Linked DNA regions of Bombyx mori. The protein of the gene in region 2 purifies or fractionates together with the protein of the main gene of each other region. This does not show direct contact. Links are inferred from orthologs where the notes say so. Each region holds a gene or a part of one and is shown on either strand. Other genes may lie near its edges.

Region 1 (4,319 bases), on a different chromosome or scaffold from region 2:
GAAATTGGTCGATAGACCGACGTTCCGAAAGTTGTTGTTCGGTACTTATATACATATATGCAAACTTATCTTGGAAATATTGCTAGCAAGATTTATGCATTTGTCAAATATCTTGTAGGTATTCTATTATGGCTACCGCTACATTACTCCCCCCGAGACCGGAGTTCGTGCGATTAATTTAGCATTGTCCGTGCTGAGATTAGCTTGCTAGTGCCAGTGTTACTCGAATTCTCCGGTGAGTCGAGACTGAGTTTTGAATGCCGCCATAAAGCCGTTAATACAGAGCTGCCACGCCGGACATATGTGACCCCAAGTGTTGATGACCGGATCGTGGGCTGCGATGGGTTGTAGAGGCTTGATGAGGCAGTGAGGATGCATGTCGTAGGAACAGGAAGCGCGGCAAGTCGGCTACGATGGGCATATTGAGGCTGTCATGCTGGTCTGCTGCGGGACGTCTATTGATGACTTACGATTTTAACTTCGAGAGTGCGGAAAGAAGGTAAGAGCGTGTCTCGGTTTTCTAAAAAAAAATATGTTTGCACCAGTGAAGTAAGAGTCACAAACTTATATAATATAAAATTATGCATTAGTGTAATAAATATTATTAGCGTAAGTAAATCAGCAACTCTCAAAGTGGTTGGTGGTATTTCCATCGTGATGTTTAGGCTTAACTATCTTTTTGTAGTTAATTAACAGAAAAACTTGCATTCGTAATTTTCATGCAAATTAACAAAAAAAAAATATTATTAAAATTAAATATAAAATTATTTTTAATATCCACTATACACAAAAGTGAACTTATCTAGCATGTGAATTTTAGAATATTCCTTTAATTTTCAACAATTTTAACCAAATGAATTAAAATAAAATACCGTTATGTTTAAGTTTATTTAAGTAACATTGCCTCATTTAGCTATATTTCATCATCATCATCATTGTTTCCTATTACCCTCTGCTGGGGTGTAGGGCTCGAATCAAATTTTTCCATTTATATCGGTCTTGGGCAGTCTGTTCTAGCTCCTCCCACGTCGTGCCCAAGACCCCTAGCTCCTGCTCCACCGAGCGACGCCAAGTTGTTCTGGGGCGGCCTCTCTTCCTTTTGCCAGACTCTTTCCAGATCAGTGCTCTATTTAAATTATATTTAAATTAAGTAATTTTGAAGTATTTTAAATTAAGTATCATTTACCATTTTTCATACAGAAAAAAAAAACCACAAACGTCATTTAATGTCGTAATTGTCGTATGTCATTTTCAGCTGTGTTGATAAAATGTAACGTCATAACCTTGCACTTTATCAAATTAATCGTACATCACATTTATTATTTACTTCATACCAAGACGCCTGTTCAATAATAAAATGGCATCTCGATTTAGTGGTGCATTACAACTTACGGATCTTGACGATTTCATAACTCCTTCACAGGTATGTTTTTTTTTTGTTATCAATAAAATCCTTTGCTGGCGAAAAAAAAAACAATTCAAATATAACTTTTTTGTAACAATTCATTTCATTTTAATTGAATTGTTATTAAAATTTTGTACCAATCTACTTTGATAATATAATTATTCATAATATACTATAATTTATACAAGCACTACTAACTATCGAATCAAAATTGAGACAAAAGGGACTTTAAAGTAAAAATTATTCTGAATTTAACAATCAGAGTTTTTATCGTATTAAGTTTTTTTTACTATTTCATACTCTATTTAAAACTAGTACTATAACAATAAATGAGTGAACAACTCATTGAGTATTAAGTATTAACATCAAGCAAACTTATGAAAGTGAATCAATCAGTAAATTTATCATAAAGTTAACATTTTTAGGAATGCGTAAAACCAATCAAAATCGACAAATCTAAAACAAAGACAGGTGCCAAAATAAAGATTGGCGAAGGTGGGTACTTTGATGTGTCAAGCGGAACAGAGCAGAAGTTGAAGAAAGTTGAAATCACCTTAGCAGACTGTCTTGCGTGCAGTGGATGCATCACATCTGCTGAGAGTGTGCTCATTACTAAACAAAGTCAAGAAGAGCTACTTAAGTAAGTCCTATGAGTTTTCATTACCAAAGAGAGTTTCTAACATAATATCACGAAATGCCTAACAAGTTAAAGAAGGAATAACTTTTAAGGTATAAAAAATAAGGGGGGAGTTGACGGGGTTATTAATTCCTGGCCACCTGGTCCAGAAAGATTATAGAAGCCTGTATATATCACTAAGTGAATGCCAGCACCCACTGTGAGACACTGAATCCAAGTATATTTCATAAGAGCTGTGCCATTCTTCAAACCAAAAGTATGACTGCTTTTTGGCAAAAACAGGTGCGATGACTGTAGTCCTCCCTACAAGTAGCACTAGACACTTAAATGAATAGTAGTTCCTATTCATGGAACAAAAATATAATTAATTTATTAATTATATTTTGCATAGTAAACATATTTTAATTTCAGGGTATTTTCAGACCGTAAATACACAGACAGTAAAGGAGTGGTGAAGGATGTTAGTTTAATAGTAATATCTCTGTCGCCGCAACCCATACTGTCACTAGCAGCTAGGTACAAGCTACCGCCTGAACATGCCACAAATAAATTAGCAGGTCTATATTTATAATGATATTGTAATGAAAACATTCCAGAAATACTCAGCAGAAAGTAACTGTATTGTGTTTCAAAATACATTCACATTTCATCACTTTGCTATGAATACAAATTAAATAAAAACTGCTCAGTTTGCAGTAGATACTAAATAAATTTTCTGAGGATTTTGTTTGACATATGTGATACATAAATGGCAAATGTATTGTATTCCTCTATTACAATGAAACTTCTTGTAACAAGGTGGGTACCAACAGTCACAATATGATGTCAATAAGCTCTGTTTGTAACCAAACACCAAGTGTCCCATAGACAAATCTAAAGGTTATGTAGATTTAATTGTAATAACAAATTACAAGATGGTTTGGTTATTTGGAGGTCCTTACAATGTCTAACTTTTAATTCATTATCACAGGGTACTTTAAAAGTCTTGGAGCAGATCTAGTTCTTGACATGACGATAGCAGAAGACTTATCTCTGTTAGAAGCACAGCAAGAATTTGTACAAAGGTATCAGGATCAACAGGCTGATCCCAATGGAAAATATCTTCCGATGTTAGCCAGTTCGTGCCCTGGTAAGCATGCTTTAGTTTGAGAATATAATTGGAAATATTATTGGTACTATATGCCTATTTCTGCTGCTATAAAATAATAACAATTAAAAAAAAATTGAGCAGTTATTAATATCTTACTTTATATTTCAAGTTGACGTTAGATGGTGGCTTTGTTCATAAAGATTTACATTTATACGAAAACTCTTATTAAAAACAATTAACCAACCAACTAATCAACAATTTTCAGGCTGGGTGTGCTATGCTGAAAAAACGCACGGTAACTTTATACTACCCTACATATCCACCACAAAATCCCCACAACAAATAATGGGTTCTCTGGTAAAGCAATACCTGTCCCGTACTAAGGAGCTTACTCCCGGAGAGGTGTACCACGTGACCGTCATGCCGTGCTACGATAAGAAACTAGAAGCATCTCGGGAGGAATTTTACAATGATTTGCTTAGCTGTCATGATGTAGACTGTGTCATAACTGCGAGTAAGTATACAATTGTTTATGAGAATTAATAATTCTTTCAATACTATTTTCTTTTATAATATTTAGACAGCTGTGCAATAAATTAATGAAGCTTCCTTATTTGCATTGTAATTTTTCAAGACACATGTACGGCTGATTTGTAATATCTGAGTCGTCTATTATCAAAGGTGGCAATCTGTGCATTTGGACAAAAAAAAATTATTGATATGTCAATACAGATTGATTTGAATATAATCGTCTCCTTCAAAGAATACGGTTCAAAACCTGCATTAAATAAAGGTTAATAGTTAACCTGTTATTTATCTAAGATGTCGTTCCGAAGAGTTTTGTGACTGCCAATGGAATACAAAGTCAATAATTCGTTTTTCTGATTTACCAATCATTGTCCAAAAGTCAGATTGCCGGCTTTGATAATAGTCGACTCATCTTACGATAAATTCTAGAAGCAAAATATATTAATAAATAAATGGTTAAACAAAAGTCAGGGCAGCCCTATAAATGTGACAATTTTAGTCGAGCTAGAACAAATGTTGGACAACAGCAACATGTCACTAAACGATGCGGAGAGCTCTTCGTTGGACAGTCCGTGGGGTGAAGGGGCAGTCCGCCGACACCGGGGCTCCGGCTCTGGTGGCGGCGCCGACCATGTCTTCCTCTACGGAGCCGAACAACT
Region 2 (4,561 bases):
ATAATGTTTTGGCACAAAAGTTAATAAACATGTTGTATGTTTACAAACTATTATCACAATGTTGTTTCAAATATGACCTTCACAAACTGTGTCATGGTCTTTGAACCAAAAAAGTAATTTAATTTTTTCTTAAATTTTCTTGAACTATGCTGTGATTAATAAGATGGCAAACAATGTGTTTCAATGAAGTCTATATATATTATACGGTAGACTAAATGTACCTATATATATTGATCGTCATTTTATTTAATCACATAATGTGCTTAATTTGCATAAAGTAGAAGTCAGAATTTTGTATTATTACAGCTGTCACATTTTTCAGTATGTATGAAGTACACAATTTCAGTATGTGTGTAGTACCAGTAAGTATGAACATTTTGTTTACCCTATATGGTGGTATTTAACCATGCAGGGTCAGTTTTCTAGCTGTTGCTGAAAGACTCCAAAAATTCTAATTAAAAGTGGAAAACTCATAAACAACACCTTCATGACTGACCTGACAGTGTACTAGTCATCCCTCTGACTATTAAGCCGAACATTATGATTACTAGAACATTATTATATTGTATTATTATAACCGAACACTACTAATCGGAATGAAATTACAACAGAACAAATATGATTGCTGTTTCTAGACTTTATTAAGCTATATCAGTCAGTTCATTTGTCTGATGTTTTTCAAATTAATTTTAATAACTTTTTACTAGTTTACCACCATTAAGCCCCAATATTTTACTAATGCAACTACTACTGCAAATAAACATTTAACTCTCTTAGTAGAATAAAGACAAATTGTCTCATCGTTAACCTGATGAAGCTATTGTGGGTTATTAAGGAACGTAGCTAATTTTTTGTTTTGTTATCTGTAACAATCAAAGTACGGAAAAAAATCTAACCTCACTGTAAATAAGCTTATAAAAGAGTTGTGAGGTGAGTAGGTAATCTTTACTCTGATACACATTCCTCTAGAATTGTGGAATATTTGTAGTGAGCTAGTGGTGCATGTTGGATCACTAGTGATCTTGAGTGAACTACGATAACTGTAACTGTGGTTTTGAATTTTTTTTCCATGACAAGGTTAGTTCTTGATTTTGAATAAAATTTATGCATTTTTAGGGTTACACATTGATCTTTCATCAATATATAGCTCTGTGGATATCATAAAATATCGAAAATACTTTGTTCACATAATTCATTGGATACACATATTTAGAAGAAGAAAATAGCTTCGTGATAGATCACATTAATAAAGATTCAGAATAATCATCTCAGTACAATTTTTCTGATGATGATGCAGAAGCAGCAGAGCAGAAATGAACAAGAAGAAAGAGTTATAGTAGATGGAGAGATTGGCAGAAATTTATTCTTTGAAAAAAGCATTCTCTTGTAATTGATTTTTTTTTTAATATCTCAATTTGTTCAAAAGTTATGAATTTTTAATCAATGACTCCATTTTAAGGAGGTGGGTATGTTTATGATGATTAATAAAATCCTCATTTAATTTTTTTTAATCTTCATCGTGTGCTCAAGTTTAAGTATTCAAGAGTTTTCAGGAATTTAATCAGATTTTTTATTACAAATTACGTTTTCTAATGCATCTCAGGTCTTCAGTGACCCATGATAACCTGACAAGGTGCCAAAAAAAGTGATAACCTGATCGGGTTAATTTATTGTAAACATTATATTGGTAAATTATTTCACTATCTTGAACAGAAATAGATGTAAACATAAATAGTTATTAGCTTATATTATTAGTTAATAGCGTATATCATTGCTATTGATGTTAATAATATAATCATAAAATTATATTATTTTTGTATTAAATAGTGATGATTTTTTTTCCACTAAACTTTATAGTGCAATGCATTTTAGATCCAATGATACATTTTCTAAACTAACAAATTTCATCGCTTACTTTCATCTTCAGTGGTATGTGCCCCTTTCTTGATAAAAATGTCCAATTTCACAGGATGATGGATAGACCTTAATATTTTAATACGAATGCAAAGTCCGATTAGTGTGGCCAGCGAACAATGGGGCACTGTTGGATTATACTCCACACGTAAAACGGGCACTTTATCTGCAGTTGGTTCCTTCACAAAGATTCCTTCCTCGTACACGACCTTCAAGTCTTCAAGCGTATTTGGCTTTTCGGGGTCTCGAATTGTCCTCAAATAGTCTAAAACACACCACAGCACACATTAAACACGCAAATAACACAAAAAGTTCGTGCAAAACCACAAATTTATGTTGAAAACAAACCATATATTGTCTCTCTCAACTCATTCTCGTCTTTGTAGCCGAGCTCTTGTAATGTAGCACTTTTGTCCATATATGCGGGCTTAGCGACCTCCACTGGCTGTTTTGAAGAGTTGTTTAAAGATAGTTTGGAGAAAAATGATATCATATTATCGTTCAAATTAAAATTATCACGGGTCACGATTAAATGTCGGACATATTTATTTTTTGACAATTGTAATTGCTGACCTCCGTTTTTTTTTTCACTTGTATCTGCTATTGTGGCAATACTTTTAAGTCCATCTTAATTTTTTGTCGTCTTCAATAATGTTCTACAGAATTTACAGATAGTATTGACAATTTAAAGAACTTAAACTAATTTTACAACAATGCAAGTAACTTTGTCCATAAACGAAAGCCGGTTTACGAACGATAGTTTTACGTGATAACGCCATTAAGATAATTGTTCGAACTGTTAACTCTGACGTCACGTGAGTGGGAAAATAAAACAGAGGCGCTGGACGTAACTTCTCGAGATCCTCCAAAAAGTCCACTGAAAAAGTCTCCGTAAATAACCGCCATTTTACTGAGATTATATTTCATCCCATGTCATTTTATCTCATCTCATTTCATTTCATTTCATGCAATGCCATGTTTCATATTAATCAGCTTCATTTCATTTCACTTCATATTATCATTTTTCATATACAAAAAAGTGATAGTGCAATTTTCATCAAAATTTAAATTGTCTTAAATTAAAAATAAAACCTTTTAATTTAAAACTATTTTAATTTACCAGGACATAAAATCACTTAAAAAAAGACGCCACGCGAGAAGACAGATAAATGTGTCACAAGCCAACGCTTGGGCCGATCGTGCCTCTCTATCGTTTGTTCCGCGCTCTCGCTTGCGCGCTCAGGCTCAGAGGAACGTGACACTCTTTCGTGCGTGCAGGCGGCGTACATCGATTTAGACGTTAACACATCCAAAAACCATCAATAATTGATGTAGACAAACATTAGACAAAGCTTTAATGACTGAAACTTCAAGCTGGTGGCTTATTCATGACGCATTGCCAAAAGGAATGGATACCTCAAATGAGGCTACAGTATACAAAAAAAATAGGCCTTTTATTTTTATCTACATCCAAACAACCTTGAATCAAAATTAAGAGCCTGCATTCACCACTATATTGTCGCTAAACTACTACAATACATTTAATTTTTATTTCATTACCTACATAACGGTGTATCTTTTGCTTAATTGAATAAAAAAAGTTTGTTATCTGACGTGAAACACAGTTTTCTATTTAATAAAAGAAATATTCGTATTTTTTCATAGCCAGTGTATTCCGTCGTGTGGAAGCGTCGATATTAGTAATTGACTGTATTAGAAGATCTCAGGTACTTTACCATCAACATATTGTGATGGATCTATTTTGCATATTTTTATTAGCATAACTTATATCTAACTAACTGAATCTTTAATAAGGAGTAATTTTAACCGAATTAAGATTAACCTTGATAATTAATTAAAACCTTGACATCAAATGTTACGACTATTTATAAATTAGAGTTCTTAAAAAATATGTTACAATATATTGTAATAAAAAAAAATCATTTTTTTTACTTTTAGTTTCTACGATTTAGTTTGGCTTACTCTTGAAGTGTTTGTTTGTTTTTAAATTTATATTTATTCTAGCTGACAAGGCAAACGTGTTGTCTTAAATAAATTTCTAGAGAAATTCTAGTGTAGAAAAAAAAACCTAATTCAACCACATAATACCTCACAATAACAAAATAAAATTATTCAAAAAAATGTGTGCGTGTACTAGTGTACACACGTAAGAAGTGAAACTTGTTTATGGCCTTATTTTTCGAAAAATGATCTACATGCAACTTTCTAGAAATTGGTTAAATAAAGTTAAATTAGATAAAGTTTAAACAAAAGGATTTTATTATCATAGACATGAATACAAATAATACAATTATTTCACTTTACCTTTTTGCTACTAAGATTATTACAGCATTTTAATAATACATCTCTTTGATATCATAATACCCTGGTACTTTTCTTCCTATAAATTAATAATAATAGCACGGTCCACGTGGTGTTAAATGGGGTTCCTGAGGTTCGTGAAGTTTGACCCACCTTGAGACATGAGGTCGATTTCTCAAATCCGAAACCATGCTTCAGAACATACCGCCGTTAATTATTAATAAATCTCTTTGCTATCATAATACCCTGGTACTTTTCTTCCTATTATTTTACGTAATAACAGTAATAAATAGCACGGTCCACGTGATATTATTAAGTGGGCTCC

Evidence for each region.
Region 1: the proteins of MIP18 family protein galla-1 (region 2) and probable cytosolic Fe-S cluster assembly factor GL21135 purify together in Homo sapiens (affinity purification with mass spectrometry; 4 studies listed by BioGRID and IntAct, with this or other methods). This does not show direct contact. The link is inferred for Bombyx mori from reciprocal best matches to the Homo sapiens genes CIAO2A and CIAO3.

The regions. Positions count from the first base shown.
Region 1 is NC_085116.1:15,949,770-15,954,088, reverse strand, and holds the start of probable cytosolic Fe-S cluster assembly factor GL21135, read left to right. Parts: upstream 1-1,242; 5' UTR 1,243-1,357; coding exon 1,358-1,423; intron 1,424-1,830; coding exon 1,831-2,045; intron 2,046-2,453; coding exon 2,454-2,599; intron 2,600-3,012; coding exon 3,013-3,171; intron 3,172-3,397; coding exon 3,398-3,646; intron 3,647-4,159; coding exon 4,160-4,319.
Region 2 is NC_085134.1:8,479,028-8,483,588, forward strand, and holds the start of MIP18 family protein galla-1, read right to left. Parts: upstream 3,119-4,561; 5' UTR 2,408-3,118; coding exon 2,263-2,407; intron 2,180-2,262; coding exon 1,916-2,179; intron 1-1,915. UniProt on the Homo sapiens protein: Component of the cytosolic iron-sulfur protein assembly (CIA) complex, a multiprotein complex that mediates the incorporation of iron-sulfur cluster into extramitochondrial Fe/S proteins.